Linked DNA regions of Canis lupus familiaris. The protein of the gene in region 5 interacts with the protein of the main gene of each other region in a pairwise test. Links are inferred from orthologs where the notes say so. Each region holds a gene or a part of one and is shown on either strand. Other genes may lie near its edges.

Evidence for each region.
Region 1: the proteins of PRKAR1A (region 5) and PLEKHF2 interact in binary tests that used the Homo sapiens proteins (3 or more experiments, as listed by UniProt). The two-hybrid records come from large-scale screens. The link is inferred for Canis lupus familiaris from reciprocal best matches to the Homo sapiens genes PRKAR1A and PLEKHF2.
Region 2: the proteins of PRKAR1A (region 5) and AKAP10 interact in a two-hybrid assay, tested with the Homo sapiens proteins (3 studies listed by BioGRID and IntAct). The link is inferred for Canis lupus familiaris from reciprocal best matches to the Homo sapiens genes PRKAR1A and AKAP10.
Region 3: the proteins of PRKAR1A (region 5) and AKAP1 interact in a two-hybrid assay, tested with the Homo sapiens proteins (2 studies listed by BioGRID and IntAct). The link is inferred for Canis lupus familiaris from reciprocal best matches to the Homo sapiens genes PRKAR1A and AKAP1.
Region 4: the proteins of PRKAR1A (region 5) and C37H2orf88 interact in binary tests that used the Homo sapiens proteins (3 or more experiments, as listed by UniProt). The two-hybrid records come from large-scale screens. The link is inferred for Canis lupus familiaris from reciprocal best matches to the Homo sapiens genes PRKAR1A and AKAP19.

What each region holds. Positions count from the first base shown.
Region 1 is NC_049250.1:40,390,005-40,392,995, forward strand, and holds part of PLEKHF2 (pleckstrin homology domain-containing family F member 2), read right to left. Parts: intron 162-2,991; 5' UTR 148-161; coding exon 1-147. UniProt on the Homo sapiens protein: May play a role in early endosome fusion upstream of RAB5, hence regulating receptor trafficking and fluid-phase transport. Enhances cellular sensitivity to TNF-induced apoptosis.
Region 2 is NC_049226.1:40,468,088-40,472,130, forward strand, and holds the start of AKAP10 (A-kinase anchor protein 10, mitochondrial), read left to right. Parts: upstream 1-1,236; 5' UTR 1,237-1,412; coding exon 1,413-1,500; intron 1,501-4,043. UniProt on the Homo sapiens protein: Differentially targeted protein that binds to type I and II regulatory subunits of protein kinase A and anchors them to the mitochondria or the plasma membrane.
Region 3 is NC_049230.1:31,842,924-31,847,098, reverse strand, and holds the start of AKAP1 (A-kinase anchor protein 1, mitochondrial), read right to left. Parts: upstream 2,802-4,175; 5' UTR 2,614-2,801; intron 1,326-2,613; exon of another isoform or gene 1,306-1,325; 5' UTR 1,236-1,305; intron 796-1,235; 5' UTR 688-795; coding exon 544-687; intron 1-543.
Region 4 is NC_049258.1:690,304-694,271, reverse strand, and holds the start of C37H2orf88 (small membrane A-kinase anchor protein), read right to left. Parts: upstream 2,811-3,968; 5' UTR 2,765-2,810; intron 2,551-2,764; exon of another isoform or gene 2,535-2,550; intron 2,019-2,534; 5' UTR 1,982-2,018; intron 1,643-1,981; 5' UTR 1,441-1,642; intron 1-1,440.
Region 5 is NC_049230.1:11,742,565-11,746,574, reverse strand, and holds the start of PRKAR1A (cAMP-dependent protein kinase type I-alpha regulatory subunit), read left to right. Parts: upstream 1-1,198; 5' UTR 1,199-1,349; intron 1,350-1,609; exon of another isoform or gene 1,610-1,768; intron 1,769-2,638; exon of another isoform or gene 2,639-2,797; intron 2,798-4,010. UniProt on the Homo sapiens protein: Regulatory subunit of the cAMP-dependent protein kinases involved in cAMP signaling in cells.

The DNA.
Region 1 (2,991 bases), on a different chromosome or scaffold from region 5:
CTTCTTTCTGCACAACTTAGTCAATACTCCTTCTCCAATAAGAACCCTTCCAGGTATAGTTAAGGGTTGACCAGCTGCTCCAAAACAGTTTTCTACTATATTTATACGTCTAGTATTTGCTTCACTGTTTGCCAAGCGATCCACCATCTTTTGCTGATAGCCTTTAAAAAAGAAAGAAAGAAAGAAAGAAATTAGCACATAAAAGTTATGAATTCATGTAAGTTAAAAATTATATAACCTAAATTTAATCTAACAAATCTTTACTTTTACTCAAAGGCAAATGCTCCCAAATGGTTACCAAGATAATCACCAAGCGTACCAAAAGGGTTAACATGTCCTGCTTTTATAATCATCAAAAATCTTACTAGTCCAAAAATCCATATAGCACTATACTAGTTAAGTAGATATTAATAAAAGCATAAACTTCTTACAGACATAAAGGAATAAACAACTGGACAACGAATATAAGTCTTTTCTGCAAAATAATAATCTCAGTTCCATGAAATTTAATCTCAGAGGGATTCTGAAGAAGAGGGCAAAATTCTGTAAAAACTAAGAGAAATTAAGAATTTTTTCTGGTAAGCTATTCCCAATGAGCTAAAGCCTTAATCCTCTCACCTGGATTACCAGAACTATTTGCCAATGTGTCTTTGGTCTTGCCCCCTAAATCAGTCTTCAGGCAGTGATTTCTCAAATGCAAATCTCACCATGTCATTATTCAAAAGAACTCTCCTTGACCTACAAAATGCAGATTTTCAAGCATGGCACACTAGGCTGTTCGTTATCTGGTTCTTGCTTACCTTCCCAGACTCATCAAGTCACTCTTCAGCTCAAACTTTATGTTCTAAGAAAACTCTACTCCTCACAGTCCACTTCATCTACACATGCCTTCTCTCATGCTGTCGTATCCTTTACTACTTGATACTCACAGTTAACTCTTATTGATCCTTTAGGACTCAGTTTAGGTTATCGACTAACTCACTTCCAGTTGAGTGTATCAAAGCCAGGAGTCTCCTTTAAACATATTTATTTACTTATTAAAGATTTTGTTTATTCATGAGAGACACAGAGAGAGGCAGAGACACAGGCAGAGGGAGAAGCAGGCTCCCTGCGCGGAGCCCGATGTGGGACTCGATCCCAGGACCCTGGGGTCACGCCCTGAGCCGAAGGCAGATGCTCAACCACTGAGCCCCCCAGGTGACCCTCTTTTAAATTCATTTAGACTAAACACCTTCCTCTGTGCTCTTCACATTCCATATACCTTCTGGCTTCATTCTTACCAAAGGATTGAAATCTGTCTCCTTTAAAGGCTGCAATGGAACCTACAAGATAGACCATCTGCAATCTACCTTTGAAACTGACCCTCCCCCCCCCCCCCCCCGCCGGCACAGCAAAGGTGTTCAAAATTGTTGACAACGTTTTGGCATTGTGTAAAAAACTCCTATGAATCTACTCTTAAATGGTCACAGATTTAATCATTAGATTCAACAGTGACTTCATTCAAGTCCTTGAGTTGTGTCCTATTTCAGACCTACTAACCTAATACTACCACAACTAAGTCATATTAAAGAGAAGAGGAACATTTAAAGTCTAACAGCATAGTCTAAATTCCAGTATTCAACTCACAAACTGATGATACTGTACCCTTTTCTGGCCTCCACTATAAAGATTCTGATTATTCCTGAATTTGTCTCCTCTAATCATGGGTCCTTATAAAGCCCCTTTGCTCCCCACAAGGGTAGGCTCTATCCTGAAAGCTGTTCCCAAGAAATTATATGATAATACAGGGCTCCAAACTATGACTCTTTTTCTAATTACACCAAACATGCCAGCCAATTAAAGGTTTACTGTCCTACACACTGTGCATCATGGAAGAAGAAATAAAAACAGTCCATAAACACAAAAAGAGGCTCAATCCCACTCATAACCCAAGAAATGATAATATGACATTAGGATATTTTTTTCACTTACGAGATTAACAAAAGTTTTTAAAATTTCCTCAGGCGCAGTACTACTGAGGATACAGGGAAATGGTGCCCTTATACACTACGGAAGATACGGGTACTCACTGATCTAGGTGTTTTATCAAAAGAAATTCCAGTTGAGTGTATGAAGACGTGCACAAGGATGTCCAACACAGCACGGTTTACAACACACACACACACACACACAAAACTGGAAAAGCTCCAAATGTCTACCATGAGGAACTGGTTGGACAATTTATGATAACCCATAATATGCTAGATACCTGGGAATAATGAGATAGATCTAAATATAGTGATATGGGAAAATGGTCAAGATATTTAGGCGTGGAAAGAGTGGAACATCATAATCTCATTTGTTTCAAATATATATCGCATTTCATCAAATCTAAGATGCTACAGACCTTAAGACACATCTTCATTTTATGTGCCACTGGAAATGAGAAAGGCTGCTAGTTACCTCACGGCATACCTCTGATTATATGACATCTCAATTTCAGAGACATAAAATATACTAAACCATGTTCATCTTTAGATTCAATGAAATATAGTATAAACGCGTAATCACAGACACTTGTGAACAAACACGTAAGCATACACACAGAAAATAAAATTAAAAAAGTATATACCATGGTGTCAACAACTGTTATTTACCTTTGAGAAGTACAATCATGGATAATTTTTCACACTTTACGCTATCTTTAAACATCCAACAAGTATTCACTCTGTTAGGCACTGATCTAAGTGCAGGGAAAAAATATACAACATGAGCAAGGTCCCTGTTCCTCAAGTTTTACACCCTAGTTGGTCAGGAGTGAAACAGAAAACAAAATTGAGAACCAAATAGTAAGTCAATGTTACGATTTTTAAAAATGATTTACAAAAACTAGCTGGGAAGCTATTCAGACTGGATGGTCAGGGGAGGCTTTTCTAGAGCGGAACTGTTCAGCGGGTAAGTGGGGACTACACATACGGACAGGTGTGGGGACAGAGAAGGGTACTTCAAGCA
Region 2 (4,043 bases), on a different chromosome or scaffold from region 5:
TATGGGCCCAGGACCAGAGAACCCTATTAAGTTGCTCTAATTATACAGTGAAAAGATCCTGGGTTGTAGTTAATAGTCTCAACACTGACACATCATAATCTTGGACAAGTTGGACTTCTTTTTGGTCCTGTTTCCCGAACTGTCACATGATAGACTCAGGAATTAAAAAACAAACAACTCAGGAGGCACCTGGATAGCTTAGTGGTTGAATGTCTGCTTTTGGCTCTGGTGGTGATCCTGGGGGCCTGAGATGGAGTCCCATATGGGGCTCCCTGCAGGGAGCCTACTTCTCCCTCTGCCCATGTCTCTGCTCTCTCATGAATGAATGAATGAATGAATGAATGAATGAATGGAGTCTTAAAAAAAAAACAAAACCTCGGTGAACATTTATCTTTCAGACTCCTTCCCCACAGGAGCACCCACAAGGCTACAATTATTACCCAATCAGCACACTTAACCGGTGGTAAGGGACACTGAGTTGGGGGAAAGACTTGTTTCACTCTGCATTAGTCATGAATGGAGGGCCTGAAGATTCACTGGAAAAAGACATTTGAACAAAGCTTGAAGGATATTCAGGAGTTTGCCTTGTAAATTCCTGGGGATGCTTGTGTTACTGTGCCTTTCAAACCTGAGCATTCGCAGGGATTTGGTTCTGAAAACAAGCCCACTTCTCCTTTTTTATCGCCGAGGTCATTGTGATTGGGAGTGCGTGGGGAGCCGCAGAAAGCAGGTTATGCCTCCTCTCCCCCCTTGGAGGAGCGGTGACCTCCCGGTACCCCCGCGACCCGGAGGCGCGGTGGAGGTGGTCTGCTCGCCTGGGCCTGGCGGTGCAGGGTGAAGCCCCTCTGGCGGGTCAGCGCCTTTCAGCCCAACTGGACAGAGAAGCAGGAGGGGCTGAGCTGGAGCGAGGCAGCGCGGCCCTCGCCTTGTCCAAGGGCATGCCCTGAGTGCCACGGCCGCGCGCCCCGGGCCCGAACACCGCGCCATCCCGCTCCGGGGTCGGAGGTGCGGGGCGCGGGGGGGCTGCGGCTCGGGGAGGACCCGTTTTGCGGGGGCCGTGCCCGCACCGCTCCACCGCGGGGGCACCACCGCAGGCTAGAGGTCCCCGGCGCCGGGGAAAGGGCACAGGCCGCGGGCGCGCAGGGTCACGTGGGCGGGCCGGGCGCGTGCCCCCGCACCCACGAGAGGAGGCGGGGCTGGGGGGCGGGGCCGGCGGGGCTGGCGGCGCGGCCTCCCGTGAAGCCTCGCGCGGGGAAGGACCGGAACTCCGGGCGGGCGGCTTGTTGATAATATGGCGGCAGGCGCTGCCTGGGCTTCCCGAGGAGGCGGTGGGGCCCACACCCGGAAGAAGGGTCTCCTTTCAGGCTAGTGCGGCGGCCGCTGCGGACCCGGAAGTCCGGGCCGGTTGCTGAATGAGGGGAGCCGGGCCCTCCCCGCGACAGTCCCCCCGCGCCCTCCGCCCCGACCCGGGCCCCGCCATGTCCTTCTTCCGGCGGAAAGGTAGCAGAGGGGGCTCCGGCGGGGAGCCAGGCCGGGCCTCAGGGGCGGCGGTGGGGCCGGTGGGCCTGCACGGGCTTTCTCCCCGGGGGGCGGCGAGGCCCTCGGCCTCCGCACAGACGCCCCGTGCGTGCCTTGCTTTGCTCCCGGACTCTGCAGGGAGGGAGAAGGCGGCCTCCTCGCGCGAGGTCAGAGGGGAATTGTCTCGCTGGTCTGGTCCGAAAGTGTTTGCCGGAGCCCGTACAAGTTAATGCCTGTTTGCGTAAAAACCGCTCTCGCGTTTGTGTGCTTGTGTGTCTCAACTGTAGATCAAAAAGAAGGAAATTCCTTTAGTACCGTGTTACGGAAGTCTCTGACTTTTTCAGAATATTGAGGGTTTTTATGTCTAAAAGCAACATGTGAAAAAGCTGTTTTCTTCAACTAGTGCCATTTTCTGGTTTCCCCTTCTTTGGGGGTGGGGTGGTGGAGAGGAGGATCCTGCAGTTCCTAAAATAACATTACTTATTGCTAAAAGTTCCCTAGTGAAGAAGACTCTTTTGATGACTTAGCAAGTCTACTAACTATTGGGACAGCTCACTTTGTAAACTACTTATATTTCTGATTTTCAATTGTGGATAGCTGCCAGTTTTTGAGTAGAGGCAGCTTAATTTTGATCCTGGATAAGGAGGTGGTTGTGTTTCATTAAAAATATGTATCCAAAATGAACGAGCGTAGGTCTTTTTGGATGATAGTGGTTCTTTGAATTCTTGTTATTGGAGAAAAAAATGTACCAAACAAACACACACAAAAAATGCAGCCCACTAAATAAATCAGGGACTTAGGTTCACATGACTCCTCTGCTAGTGACGGTCGCTTGGAACAGAAAAGTGTTAACCCACTTTTTCCTTCTCTCTCAGCTGAGAATGAGATGATTCCTAAAGGCCCCATTCAGATATGAATTCAAGAATTCATTTTAAGTACATAGTGAGTTTTAGTAATTGATGTCATGGGGTGAGTGAATAAAACTGTGATGAATGAATGAAAGCACTGCTGAGTGAAGGAAACCTTTAAAATGGTACAGGAAGCTTTGTTGATAAGGTACCTGGGTATAGTTAATTTAATAGCTCTTAATTTGTTTGACAGTGTTGTAATAGGTTGTTTTGGTCTTTTTTTTTTTTTTTTTTTTTTTTAAGGAGGAAAGAAGCATTCTGTGTATAATGAGGCAAATTGCATGTTGCATAATAGACTGTTGTCTCTGTTCAACAAATACTTTTGAATGCCTGGTGTTTGGCAGGCACTGTGTTAGGCCCTCGTTGTTAAGCACTGAACAAGGCAATGTCCCTTTACCTATGGAGCTTATTGTCTGCTGGGACAGGCGGACAGTAAATCTTTCTTTCTGTACCTGTGTGTATTTACAGATTGATAACCTGTTATGACAGAGATAACCTGAGAGGAGAAGCATATTTTGATTTGATGTTAGAGAAAGACCTCAGCAGGTGACCTTGAAACTTAAAGCTGAGGGATCAGTAGAAGGTAATAGAGGTTAGGGAAGAGTATTCTAGGAACAGGGAGTAGCATGTTCAAAGGTTGTAAGTCAAGAAAGAGTTTGATGCCCTTCAAGAAAGAAAGGAAGGCCAATGTGCTTTGGGCTTGGAGAGGTAGACAAGATTCGAAGCTTTGTAGGCCATAGTTAGGTTTTATTCCAAATACAGAGACACTATAATTTGTTTGTTTGTTTGTTTGTTTAAGAGAGCATGAGTGAGGAGGGAGATGGAGAGAATCTTAAGCATGCTGCACACTCAGCATGGAGATGCTGCGGGGCTCTGTCTCTTGACCCCGAGATCATGACCTGAACTGAAATAAAGAGTCAGACGCTTAACCCACTGAGCCACCCAGGCACCCCTTAAAATTTTTTAAAGAGGAATGATTTGATCTTGTGTTATAAAAAGATCATTGTAGAAGCTTTTTGCAGACTGAATGTGGCAAGAGTAGAAGCTGGAGATGCTTCTGTTTAGGGATTCCATCCAGTCTTTAAATACCATTTTTAAATACCACCTATACGCTGATGACTCCTGAATTTACATCTCCAGCTTGAATTCTCTCCCCTGAATTAGGAGTGGTATATCTAACTGTTGGTCCATTTCATACCTCTACCTAATAGATATATCTATTAATAGAAATAATAGATATAGTAAGCGAAAGATCCATCTGTTAGCCTAAAATTTAACTCCAGGTTTTTTTTAGTACGTTCTTGAACCTCTCGTTTTCTCCTACCCTATATCTACATCAGCAAATCTGCTAAGTCTACCCCAGAATGTAATCAAATTTGGTCTTTTCTCACTATCCCTGACCGTTAACTCCCTAGTCTAGATGATCATCTCTGTTTAGATTGGGCGGTTAATGAAGTCCTCTAAGAGGATGTCATTCAAATCTCAGCTTAAATGTTAAGAGGAAGCTTGTTTTATGAAAGTAGAGTAAGTAGGGCTCAGTTGGTTGAGAATCGGACTCTTGATTTCAGTCAGGTCATGATTTCAGGGTCGTGAGATTGAGCCCTGTGTTGGGCTCTG
Region 3 (4,175 bases), about 20 Mb from region 5:
CCACCCAGGGATCCCAGGAAACAAGTTTCTATACCATTTCTGAGCCAGATGTCTCCTGCTTTGTGGCACCAGGGCCCCCTAGGACGTGTTTATTAACATGGCTACCCTGAGGCCACGTCACCCAACCAAAAGAATACTGTATGCTGCACCTAGGTCCCCAGTGCCCACCACTCTCACTCGGCCTACAGCTTAGGAGCCAGGAGACAGTATCCCTGCTCCTCCAGGGAAACTGCTTTTCTCTATGAGGACCTACAGGTACAAGAACTGCCCAACTGAAGTGCTCCCCCAATCTGAGAAAAGAGGTGTAAGGATCCCCAGACAGGAGAAGGCGTGCTTTGTTTTCTTCCTTGCTACCTAGGGCCTGTGATTAGAGGTATTAGCCATCTCCACCAAAAACAGAGCCAAGAGCCCATATGATCAGCAGCTGCCCCCCACAAAGGAGTCCCGCTGCCTGGAGGTGCCTCTCAGGGAGCGCCAGGTGACCAAGCAGTCCCTCACTTCCTTAGCCCTTAACTTCCAAGGGTCTTACCCAGCCAATCTCACCTCAGTTAAAAGACTTCTGGTGAATTGATAAGGTGCCATGTGCCCCACTTTACATGGTCTGATAGGCCTAGACAGGGGCTGTGAGAGGCACCAACCTTTCCTGAATTCACAGACAGGGCCGCCTTCACCTGTGCATATACACATAGGCCCACATGTGCAGGTGTGCACACTTCAGCCTTATTAAGCTCTCTGCTACCTTCCTTCTCTGGAACAGACTCCTGAATTGCTCTCTTTGCCCTGGTTTTTGGTTTTCTGTAAAAAAAAAAAAAAAAAAACTGAACTTCTCCAGATCTGAGTGGCATTTAACACCATAGGTCTAAAAGCCTCACACTCACAAGCTAATTGAAGGCAGCCACCTCCCCCAGGGCCTCCCCCCTCCTGAGGCCCCAGACACTCAGGCAAGCCAGAGAAAAGCCTTGGAGAAGGATACAGCACCCTGCCTGAGGGTTGGTGGGGAGGAGACATGGCTATTTTGAATCTGTTGGAATTAAATAGCTGCCTGCTTATTTTTAGCAGGTCCATTTGCCCGGGAATAGATGCACGCTGGCTGGTTGCCCAGTGGTCACACAGAGCTGAAGGCAGGCACGTGCCGTGGCCCCACAAGGCCTTGAGGTTTACCTGCTCTGTCTGAGTTCTAAAAGGATTCCTTTCCTTTCTCCCAGAGGAACCTGCAGCTTCTCAGAAAAGCTTACCTCTGGAGAAGTAATGGCCTCACTCCCAGCACCGATGACCAGCCCAGTTACTGCAGTCTAGAGCCTTCTGCTAAACAAGAAAACAAATTTCTGGGAACAGTACAAACAGTGTTGGTCCCAGTGACTAAGCCCATTTGGCTGCAATTATTGTGGGAAAAAAGAGCTGCATGTAATTAATTGATGGGAAAGTTGATCATAAAAACAAGCACTTAGTAGCCAAGTGGCCATCAAGTCCACTGCGGACTTAGGCCTGGTCAGTGAAGTCACATCCACTCAGCATTCTGAATGGACTTTTCTATACCACCCCATCCCCACACCCCACACTCCTGGCAAGTTGAAATTTGAACATTTCCAATATTCCAGGGTTATGTGTTCACATTCCCAAAGACTGGCCCCTGGTGTTCAAGACACTCCATCTCTAGAATGCCCAGGACGTCAAGTTGTTCAGGGGCTTTTCCCCCTGAAGGGGGTCTTCAAAGGACAGGAACAGCTAACATGATCCAAGACCTGAAGCCCAGTATTTCCTACCACTGCATTCAGAGAACAGCAGGCTATGGGCCAGGTCAAGGTCCCCCCTCCCTTCTTCCATCCCATCCCCTCAACCCGCCCCACCAGTCTACTGAAGGAAGACCACAGAGGTCTGTGCAAGACCACAGAAGGGCCTCTTAGTTTCATAGGATGCTTTTACCTGATTCCTCATCAGGTTGAGGTTACGCACATACGTTCACTCACGTAATAATTCACACATAAATACGCTTAAGTTGCTGCAAGAAAAAGATTCTGTCCACCAGAAGCTCACAATGTGTACTGAATAATCTGTGTGTCTCTCACACACAGACCTGCACCAAACTGAGCCCAATATCAGAAGTAGGCAACAGAATCCAACTGCCTCAAAGGCACCAAGAATTTGCTCAGGTTGCAATGGTGGGTTAAAGACGTAAATTAAGGTTCTAAACCCAAGATGCCTTTGCGGGTGGAAGGGAGCAGCAAGTCCCAGACCAGAACAAGTCCTGGGAGTGAAGCTGAAGAGCTGGTAGGAGGCCAGATAAAAGGAGTTTGACCTTTACTGTCAAGGCAATGGGAACAAGTGGCAGCAACTGAAACATAGCCAAAGCAGAGCAGGTCACAAGAGGTAAAGGCCAGGGTGATCTCCAAGTGGCGACTACAGTCCAATATTGGCAACTACTTAGTCACAGGGGGCTAACTTGAAATGTGACCAGTGAAACTGAGAAACTGAATTTATATTTTATTTAATATTAATTGAAATAGCTACATAATGCTAGTGGCTACCTAAAGGATAGTATAGTCCTAGAGGGCCTTCCCAGCAGACCAGAAACAAACATAAGACCTAGATAAATGCTGTACAGCCAATGCCTACCTTGTTGGGTGGTATCTGGTGCTGCCACTGAGGGTGGGGGATGGTGGTAAGCTGGGCAATTCACCCTCAGCATGGCTGGGGCCCAGGAATCAGAGTGCTGGAGCCATGCCTCAGGGACGTTGGTCTCAGCCCAGCCCTGATGTTCAAACAGTTGTTACCTTCATCCATAGGGGGCCTGTGTGGGCTGTGACTCATGTTGGCACCCTAAAGATTCCAAATTAGCTCACAATGGGGCTGTGAAGTCCTCCCCATACTGTCCCCACATCCTTCATTGTGATGGCCCCACAGAGCAGCCAGGTGAGGCACCGTGGCCAGCCCATCCCCACTCCCGGTTAGGTAGATCAGCTGTCCAAAAGTCATAGAACGCTTCCCAGGCTCTTCTCCAGGAGACTGAGGGCTTAACCCAGTACCATCAGGGTGTGAGTACCTGCTCGGTGAAGTCTTCTCCAGGCAAAATGGAGACCCAGAGTCCAATCCCAGGAGCTCCAGGTAAGAAGAACCAGAAACAAAAAATCCCATCTCTGGACATGGTCTCAAATTAAGAATTGTTTCTCCTCTAATTCAATTACAAATTAAACTTCCAGTTTGGAAAACTTGGTAAAAAAGAGAACCCCCCACACAAAGGTGAAATGCCCAGTCTCCCTTGTTCTGCTGACCAAACACTGGGCAGGTCCAGTCTCATTAAGTTATAAAGAACAAGGCTGGGGGGGGCGGGGTGAGGGGTGGGAATCAGCATTTTCTACAAAGGTCTTCCCATTGCTTCAGTTAGGGAGTAGGAATGAGGTTTTCAAAAACCTTAATAAAAACCATGTCACATCCATCCCCAGCTCTTGGCAACCACATTGTTTTACCAGTAAATTCTGACAAATCTCTGAGGATAGTGATAAAGCAGGTACCAGGGAAGTGTTTCTAGGTACACAGAGTTTCCATCCATGACCACAGAACACTACTCATGACTGCCCAAAAGATAGGAAGTTGTGCTCTGTCAAAAAGCTTACCCAAAAAAGCTAATAAAGGTGACACATGCCTTCAGGAGAAATTAGAAGATGGTGTGAGGCAAGCAGCCCTTCACACCATCACCTCAGGTGGGCAGATCAACAGGTGAGATGCTGATTTTCCAAATGGCAGATGGTAGAATATGACCAACCCAAAAGTCACATAAAGGCCTAATGTCATTCCTATCCAACAAATACTTATGGACACCTATAGGGTACAAAGCACAGCAGGACACAGAAATGAATCAGAACGTACTTTCGAGGCACTTTCAAGTCTCACAATTTCTTTTTTTTTTTTTAAGATTTTATTCATTTATTCATGAGAGACAGACAGACAGAGAGAGAGAGGCAGAGACACAGGCAGAGGGAGAAGCAGGCTCCATGCAGGGAGCTCAATGTGGGACTCAATCCTGGAACTGCAGGATCTCACCCTGAGCCGAAGGCCGATGCCCACACTGAGCCACCCATGTGTCCCAATCAGTTTCTTTTTTTGGGGGGAAAAAAAAAACAATGACCTTCCTCAATGGGCTGTTGGTGCCACCCTTAGCCACTGACCAAGTGACAATT
Region 4 (3,968 bases), on a different chromosome or scaffold from region 5:
GGGGTCGGTCGTGTTCCCGCCCCGAGGGCCCTTTGTCCTTTTTCTGGTCGAGGTGTAGCGAGCGCAGGCCCCCCGGTGCCGGGCGAGGAGGCAGCGGCTGCTCCCAGGCTGGGCCCCGCCACGTGGCCCTTGCCCTCCCCGACACAGCTGTCGCTATTATTTTTTAAAGATTTCATGTATTTATGCGTGAGAGACACAGAGAGAGACGCGGGGACCCAGGCGGAGGGAGCAGCAGGCTCCTCGCGGGGAGCCCCACGGGGGACTCGAACCCAGGACCCGGGGTCACGGCCTGGGCCGGAGGCCGCGCTCACCCCGAGCCCCCGGCGCCCCATCAGGGACCCGGCAGGGTCCCTTTGCTCAAAGTCCCTGCTCGTCGCGTTTAAAAGGGACCTGAAGGTCCTTCACGTGGTCTCGGCGCTCGGGTCCGGGTCCTGTCCGAGGCCTTCCCCCCGCCCCCGGGCTGGCGGGCACCCCCCGCCCTGGGCACTGCCCCCCCCCCGCCCCGCCTCTGCCCGGGCCTGCTCCCCCCATCCCCAGGTAGGATGGTCTGCAGGGGGAGGGCGGGGGGGGGGAGCGGCCTGCAGGGAGGAGGGGGGAGGAGGGGTCTGCAGAGGGGAAGGGGAAGAGGGGACGGGGGGGGGGGCGGCCTGCGGGGGAGGGCTGGGGGGAGTGGCCTGCAGGGGGGCGGGGGAGGGAGTGCGGCCTGCAGGGGGGCGGGGGGTGGGGCTGCAGGGGCCATGCACGGGGTGGGTTGGGGGGAACCTGCTGCCGGGGAAGCTGCCCTGGGCCGGGGGGTCAGGCGGGGGTCAGGGGGGTCGGGCCGTGGGAAGTGCGGGGCTGTGCGGCCCTGGGCCCCCTTGGCCTCCCGGGCCTTGGAGCAGCTGCTCGTCCCCCCCCCCCCCGAAGGCCCCTCCCTGGGGCGCGACCCCGGGGCTCAGAGCCGCCACTTCCCGGGTCCCCGAGCCGCTGGCCGCGGAGCCTGGCCCAAGCCCTGGCGCAGGGGGCGCTGCCTGCATCGGCGCCGGCGCGGGCTCTCCGGGAGGACAGCCGACCGCTCAAAGGTCCTGGGGCACCGAAGGGGGCACGGGGGGCTCAGCGGCGGAGGCGGCCTTGGCCCAGGCCGTGACCCGGGCCCCAGGATCGAGCCCCGCATCGGGCTCCCTGCGAGGAGCCTGCTTCCCCCTCGGCCTGGGTCTCGGCCTCTCTCTCTCTCCTCTCTGCAACTATCCTGAATGGATAAATAAAATCTTTAAAAAGGAAAAAAAGTCATTAAAAAAAAAAATCCGGAAGCCCCGGACTGCAGACACGAATATTCCATTATGGTCAAACATCTGTGCAGCTATATTTAACCAGGGACAAAACTAGCCATATTCGGCTTGTTGCCTCAATCACTAAAAAGCAGAATGTTTAGTATTAAGGGTCCCCTGCCGAGGGCCGTACCTTGAAGCCGGAATCCAAATAACCCGAGACAGGTGTGTCCACAAGCGTGCAGCCCCGGACCCCGGGCTCGGGAAGGTGGCCGGCTCCCAGGCCCTCGCCTCTCGCAGTCGCCAGGCAGCCCTGGACTAGCTCACAAGTGCACTTCTCACCCAGTGATCAGTATTGCGATGACACACAAGCCACCTCCCCGGTTTTCCTGCTCCTGTTTCGTTAAAGGCAAGAGACTCGGGTCAACGTTACTGAGGCCGCTACACGGTGCCAGCGTACTTCCCGGGCAGAGAGGATCAGACCGTTGTTTTCTAGGTCTAGGAGTATTTAGGAGAGTCTGAGAGCTACAGATTCCACTTGTTCTTAATTCCTTGGAGGCCGGTGTAAACGTTGTCCAGGGAGCAGCATGATGCATGATGGATCTGAGACTCACTGTCTTTCAAGTTTTTATATTGATTTACAAAAAAAAAAAAAAAAAAAAAAAAGAAAAAAGAAAAAAGAAAAGAAAAGAAAAAAAAAACCCAATACTGCAATTCATTTAACTTAAACTTACTTTAAAAATATTTAGCAGATTCCGAGGATTTGAAAACCTATAAGGCAAACAAAGACATCATAAACCTAGAACCTAGAACTCCAAGGTTTTACTGTTTGTGTTGATGGTAGTAAGGTGGTCAGTAATGCAAAAAATAAAAGGTAGGAGTAGGGTCAGCCCTTTTCCCAAACGAAGCTCTTTCTGCTACATGTGCCCAGTCATTCACTGGACGGGTTTCCACCAACTGGACTCCACGCATCCAAAAACACACATATCTTTTCCTCCAAGCAGCCATGCTACTAATAACCTCATTTTTGTTAAAAGTGACCTCACATTCCCAGTCCTTTAGACTTAAAATCCTGGAGCTATGATGGCCTCCTCCCCTAGATTTTCTCCGTGTCTAATAACCAGATCTTGTTTCTTATTTCTTCTGTTCTGTCTCCCGCCGAGCCATCCTATTAATGTTTCCGTGCATCACTTTATTCTATTTGCCAGTCCATTCTCTCTCTCTCCCTCCCTCCCTCCCTCCCTCCCTCCCATTTTTCAGTCTGAAATTAGGAAGATCCACTCTTACCCCCTCACCACCTAATAAGGTGGCTCCAGTCACCCCGTGCCCTCTTCCCAATTCCTGGCACCAGCCGGCTTGGCTCCCTGCTTCCCTCTGCTCCTCTCTAAATATTCATTCCTGCCTCTAAACCTGGTTCATCTGAACTGCCCTTAATGCTTTTCGTGTCTAATCATCCCCTAAAACTCTTCTAAGTTCCTGCTTCCTGCCTGGAGCTCTCCCCTCTTCCTCAGACTTACACCATAGAAAGCCGCTGCTATAGCATCTCTCAGGAACATGTCAGCTGGCATCCCCGTATGTTCTAGAATGTAGTCAGTCAAGAACCCTAAGTCATAATGAGCCCTGATACTCGTACAGGCCTTACTCTGCACTGAACCCAACCTAAATACCTGCGTGTGTTGCGTTCGGTCACCCACAGAACCTCGAGCACTACATGTGCTCACGAGCCCTATTTTCCCAGCGAGGAGTCAGGGCACAGGAGCTAAATAACTTGCCCGAGGTCGCACAGTAGAGGCAGTGTTGGGACTCAAACTCAGACACACCAGTTCCAGAATTCACGATCTTAGCCACTAATCCTTAAAATAGGCTCCTTTCTGGGGTCCCCAGGGGCTCAGCAGCTGAGTGCCTGCCTTTAGCCCAGGCTGTGACCCTGGGGTCCCGGGATCGAGTCCCACGTCGGGCTCCCTGCAGGGAGCCTGCTTCTCCCTCTGCCTGTGTCTCTGCCTCTCTCTGTGTCTCTCATGAATAAATAAATAAAATTTAAAAAGAAAAAAAAGGTTTCTTCTAGTTTTAAATTTCCTGCACATTTAACTGAAGAGAACCAAGAAGGGGAGAGATTCAGTAACCAACTCAAAGTTACAGGAAGCGACCTTTCTCGGTGGTAGGCCGTGACCGCCCCCCCCCCCCCCCCCCCCCCCCCCCCCCCCCCCCCCGAGCAGGCCCCTGAGTGATGCGCGAGAGCTGCCCGGTGACAGGGACCTCGTGGGAATGTCTACTGTGCAAACAAAACAAAGAGCCCGCGTTGGGATCTGTGTCTGTCGCCTGCTCCTCTGCACCCCGGAGTGAAACCTGAGTCCTGCGGTGGCGGTGGGGTCGCTGAGCAGGGCACTGGCTGGCTAGGAGGCCGCCCAGGGACCCTGCCTTAACCGCCGAGCGCTGCAAGGGCAGCTGCCGGGGCTTTGCATGGTTCGGACCCGCCGAGGATGCCAGCGCCTGTCCAACCCCGGGGAGCTCGCTAAGTGTTGGGAGAGAGTAAGTCTTTCAAGACCAGTGTGGGTTAGCACGGCAGGCACTTGCGGAAGCAGTAACAAGCCTCCCGAGTCTTTCGTGTTTGTCCTTAAAATAAAATATATATAGAGAGAGACACATCATGACCAAAAAATATAATTCATGTCAGGAATATATGTGTGTGCACGTACCTACATGTATACATTTAAAAATACG
Region 5 (4,010 bases):
AGGCCTTCTTTGTGCCCACGGGGGTGAAATCCTATATGACTGAAGCTCTGTGTTTAATCCCCCATTCCACCCATCCTGGCCAAAGGCCAGTGGTCACCAAGTGGGGGCAGGGGGTAGGAGGAAACTCCCTTCTACATTTCACTCCTGTAGGCCTAATCCGCCCTTTCTGATGGTGCCTATGCTGCCTCTGACTTTCTGAAAGCGGGAGTAACCATAACTGAATAAAAGAAATATTCTGATGAGCAGGGCCCTTATCAGCCTGGTGGATTTAGGGGAGCAGATGGCTGCTTAGGGCAGTGCTGTCCCACAGAAATGTAACATAGGCTGTATAGCAAACGAACATTTTTCTAATACCTGTATTTAAAAGGCAAAAAAACAAAACAAAACAAAACAAAACAAAAAACCACTCACACACACGGAGAAATAAGTAAAAAGAAAAAGGCAAAGATGAAATTCATTTTAATAATATTTAACCTACTATTACCGAAAGATTATCATTTAAATCCCCTGTATTTTGCACATACAGCCCTAGAGCCATCTACCGCGTGTCCTCCGAGGGCCTACTTTATTGATTTCGCGACCTTATAGGCTAAACCGGTCACCTGCTCCCCCTTTCTTCCTCTACGGACAAATACCCCGATTGGGAGAAAAAAAAAAAAAAAAAAAGGCCGGAGCAGTAAAGGAGCCTCCTTTTCTCCCCGCCTGGAATCCGATTCATCCTCGATGAGTGCTTTTTGCAGGCAGCTGAGATTTGCCGTGCGGGCGGGCTCTGTGCATGTCACCGGGCCGGGTCAGGCACTGCAGGTTCTAGAAGCACCCCGGCCAGTCCCCCCAGAGGCTCGGGCCCGCGGGGCTGGACCCCGGAGGGGAGCGCGGCCCGAGCAGCGGGGCACACACTTGGCAGGGCTCGGATTTCCTGCGCCGGATGGCGGGCCCAGCCCGGAGGCCCGCGCGGAGACGGCGGGGCACAGGATGCGCGGCCGGGAGTGCGCATCCTGGGCACCCGCCCGCGCTCGGCCGCCGCACAGCTGCCGCAGATCCGCCGCGGCCGCCGCCTCCTCCGGGGCCTGGAAGCCGCAGGAGTCTCCCCGCCCCGGGCCCGCGGCCTCCCCCGGCGGGGGCCACGGGGCGGAGTCGCCCACCTGTCATCCGAGACGCCCCACGTGGGTCCGCCCGGCCGCGGGGGGGGGTGGGGTAGAAAAGGGAGGGAGAAAAGGCAGAGGCGGCGAGGGAGGAGAGGAGGCGAGGGGCCGAGGAGAGAGGGGAGCTCCCGAGAGCCGCGCCGAGAGCCGGGGAAAGAGCAGGAGGAGGAGGCAGGGGGACCTGCGGCATCCAGGTAGAGCAGACAGGTAAGGGGCGGGCGGGGGGTGCAGGTGGACGGAAGGACGGGAGCGCCGGGCTGGAGAGCTGCGGAAAGGATGAGAGGCGGGCGAGACGGCAGGGCTGCCAGTGAGGGACCAGGTGAGGCGGAAAGGAGAGCAGGAGAACGATTCTAGGGCGCGGAGGGGCGAGGGTCCTTCTAGGAGAGGCGGGAGGGGAAGCCGGGCCGCAGCGCCTTTAAGGTTGCCAAGGCGACGGCTCTGGCCAGAGCGAGGCGCATTGACGTCAGCAGCCGCGCGCTGATTGGCCGCGGCCGGGTCGTTTCCGGTGGAGCCGCCGCGGAGCCGCTATCGCGGAGTAGAGCCGGGCCAGGAGGGGAGCGCCGGGAGAGCTCAGCTAGCCGCAGCCTCGCACCCGCCGCCCCGCGTCCGCCGCCGCCCGTCCCCAGGTGAGTGGGGTCGGCTGGGAGCCCCGGCGCGCCCCGCCTCGCCGCCCCGCCGCCCGTGTGGGGGCGCTGGACCGATCCAAGATGGCGTCACGGGGAGCGACCTGCAGGGGGACGGCCGCACCCCCTGCCCCTCCCGGGCCTCGGCGGACGCCTCCCCGCGGGCCTCGCGCCGCGAGCCGCGCCCCCGGCCCCGGCCCCGGCCCCGAGCTGCTCCGGCGCGGAGCTCAGCGGCCGCCGCGGCCCCCGGCCCCCCGCCCCCCGCGGCCGTCGCGCCCCCGCCGCCTCCGCCGCCTCCGCACCCGCGCGCCGCGGCCGCCTCGCTCGCCCTCCCCCGTTTCCTGAAGGACAGCGGCTCGATTTTACTGGAATCCGCCAGTCGTTTGCCCCTGCGTTTCGGGCTGATCTGGAGACTCGGCAGTCGGCGTTTTCCCCTTTCTAGTGTCTCCTTGTCATCTCCAGCGGGGGCTTCCTCTCCTCCCTGGGAGCCCACCCCGCCCCCCCCCCCCCCCCCCCCCCCACTCCCAGCGGGATTCTGGCCCGGCTTCTAAATTCCGTTTTTGTCCCCCTTTTCACCTAGCCTTTCCCGATCCCCTCCCCGCCCCCCTGGTTCCCCGGTTCCCCTGCAATTCACCACCCTTGTGGCCTCCCGACCAGAGGAGGATGAAGGAAGGACAGGCCTCCCTTCTTCATTTTGTAGCCGTCACGGCGGCGCGAGCCAAGTGAAGGGCACGCTCCTGCCCTTCCTCTCGACAGAAAGGGAGTACGTGGTCCCCGTTAGCCCCCGCAGCGCGGCGCAGCGCAGGTGTGACGCCCGGCGACTCCCCGGCGGAGAGGACCCAGAGGAGGTGTTCCCCGCGGGTCTCGGGGGCTGCGGTCTGAATCAGCAGGTTTCCCGGCAGCGCGTTCTGTTACCTCCCCGCGAGCGAGCCTCGCGAAACGGAATTTCGTTATGGCAGTTGAGTTTCCAAAAAAGAAAGAATCTTGAGTGTTTTCTGATGGGTCGCTAGGAGTGCAGTGAAAAGTTTCAAAGTAGGTGAATAATTTTTGGGCTGGGGGGGCGGGAGGGGGGCGGGGAGGGAGAAGCCAAACTGTCGGGCTCTCTAGTTTTAAGGACAGGTAGGGAGTTAACCTTGGTCTACCCCATTAAAGGCATGAAGACTTAGGTTTGGGTTTGAGGGGGTTCAGTGATGACGTTAGTCTTGGAGGGTCCTTGTTAGTGTGCTGCTTCGACAGCACTGGTGTGTGCTTTCTGATAGTGTTTGAGACAGGAAGCCCGTTTCACTTCTTAGACCCGGTTTTTTCATTTCTACCAGCCAAAGATCTGATCTTTGATTTCTTTGACCAGTGGAGTACATGTATTGATGATATTCGTGAAATATCACCGAGTATTTTGAAGCATAAAGGATCTGATTTTATCATTATTCTTGGTGGCCTTTCGTATTATTTTACATGCAGAAAATTCTGCCGAAGTGGATTATCGGTTCATGGGATTGTCTGACCTGCCAAAGTGCCTGGTATAAATCCAAAGCAAACTACCCCTCCCCCCATTTTTTGAATGTATATTTCTGAAGTAGCAGTAGCAAGATTCTTTTTTTTTTTTTTTTTTTCCTGTGGCTTTTAATTTATGTGCTTGTCAGGGAGCGACAAACTTTCTCATGGTCTGTTAGTCTGCTTGATGTTGACCTTTGTCATGAAAGTTGTCAAAACAAAATGACTAACAGTGTAGCATTTGGCTCTTGATTTTGGTATCTTTTTTTCTTCCAAACTTACAGTTTCATCTCTGATTTTGTGTGCATTTTATTTGGGAAAAAAAAAACTGATTTGTATTGAATCCAGTTGGGGAGAGAGAGGGCCTCACTTTTATTTTCTTATCTTAATTGCTTAATAATTAGAAGTCAGGAGGAAAATAATTTATGACTGTCGTTAAATTATTAAGCTTTTAATTCCTAGGTAAAGTCAGCTGCTCACTCTAATATTTCTACTTATTTTACTTTATATCAAGGTAGTTGGAATCCTCTCAGGTTCATTTAATGCAGTTTTATCTCTTGAATCTTCATGTAAGTTTAAAATTTAACCTGTTCTAGCATTTTTTTCCTGTCCGGCCAAAGAGAGTGTTTGACATTTACTTGTCCAAATCTTTTTTGATTTAATTGGTAAGGTGGTTTTTTTTGTTTTTTTCCCTGCAGAATTTTTTTCTCTGACTGGCGTGTTCTGTTAGTGTGTGCTGTTATTTAGGGCTGAA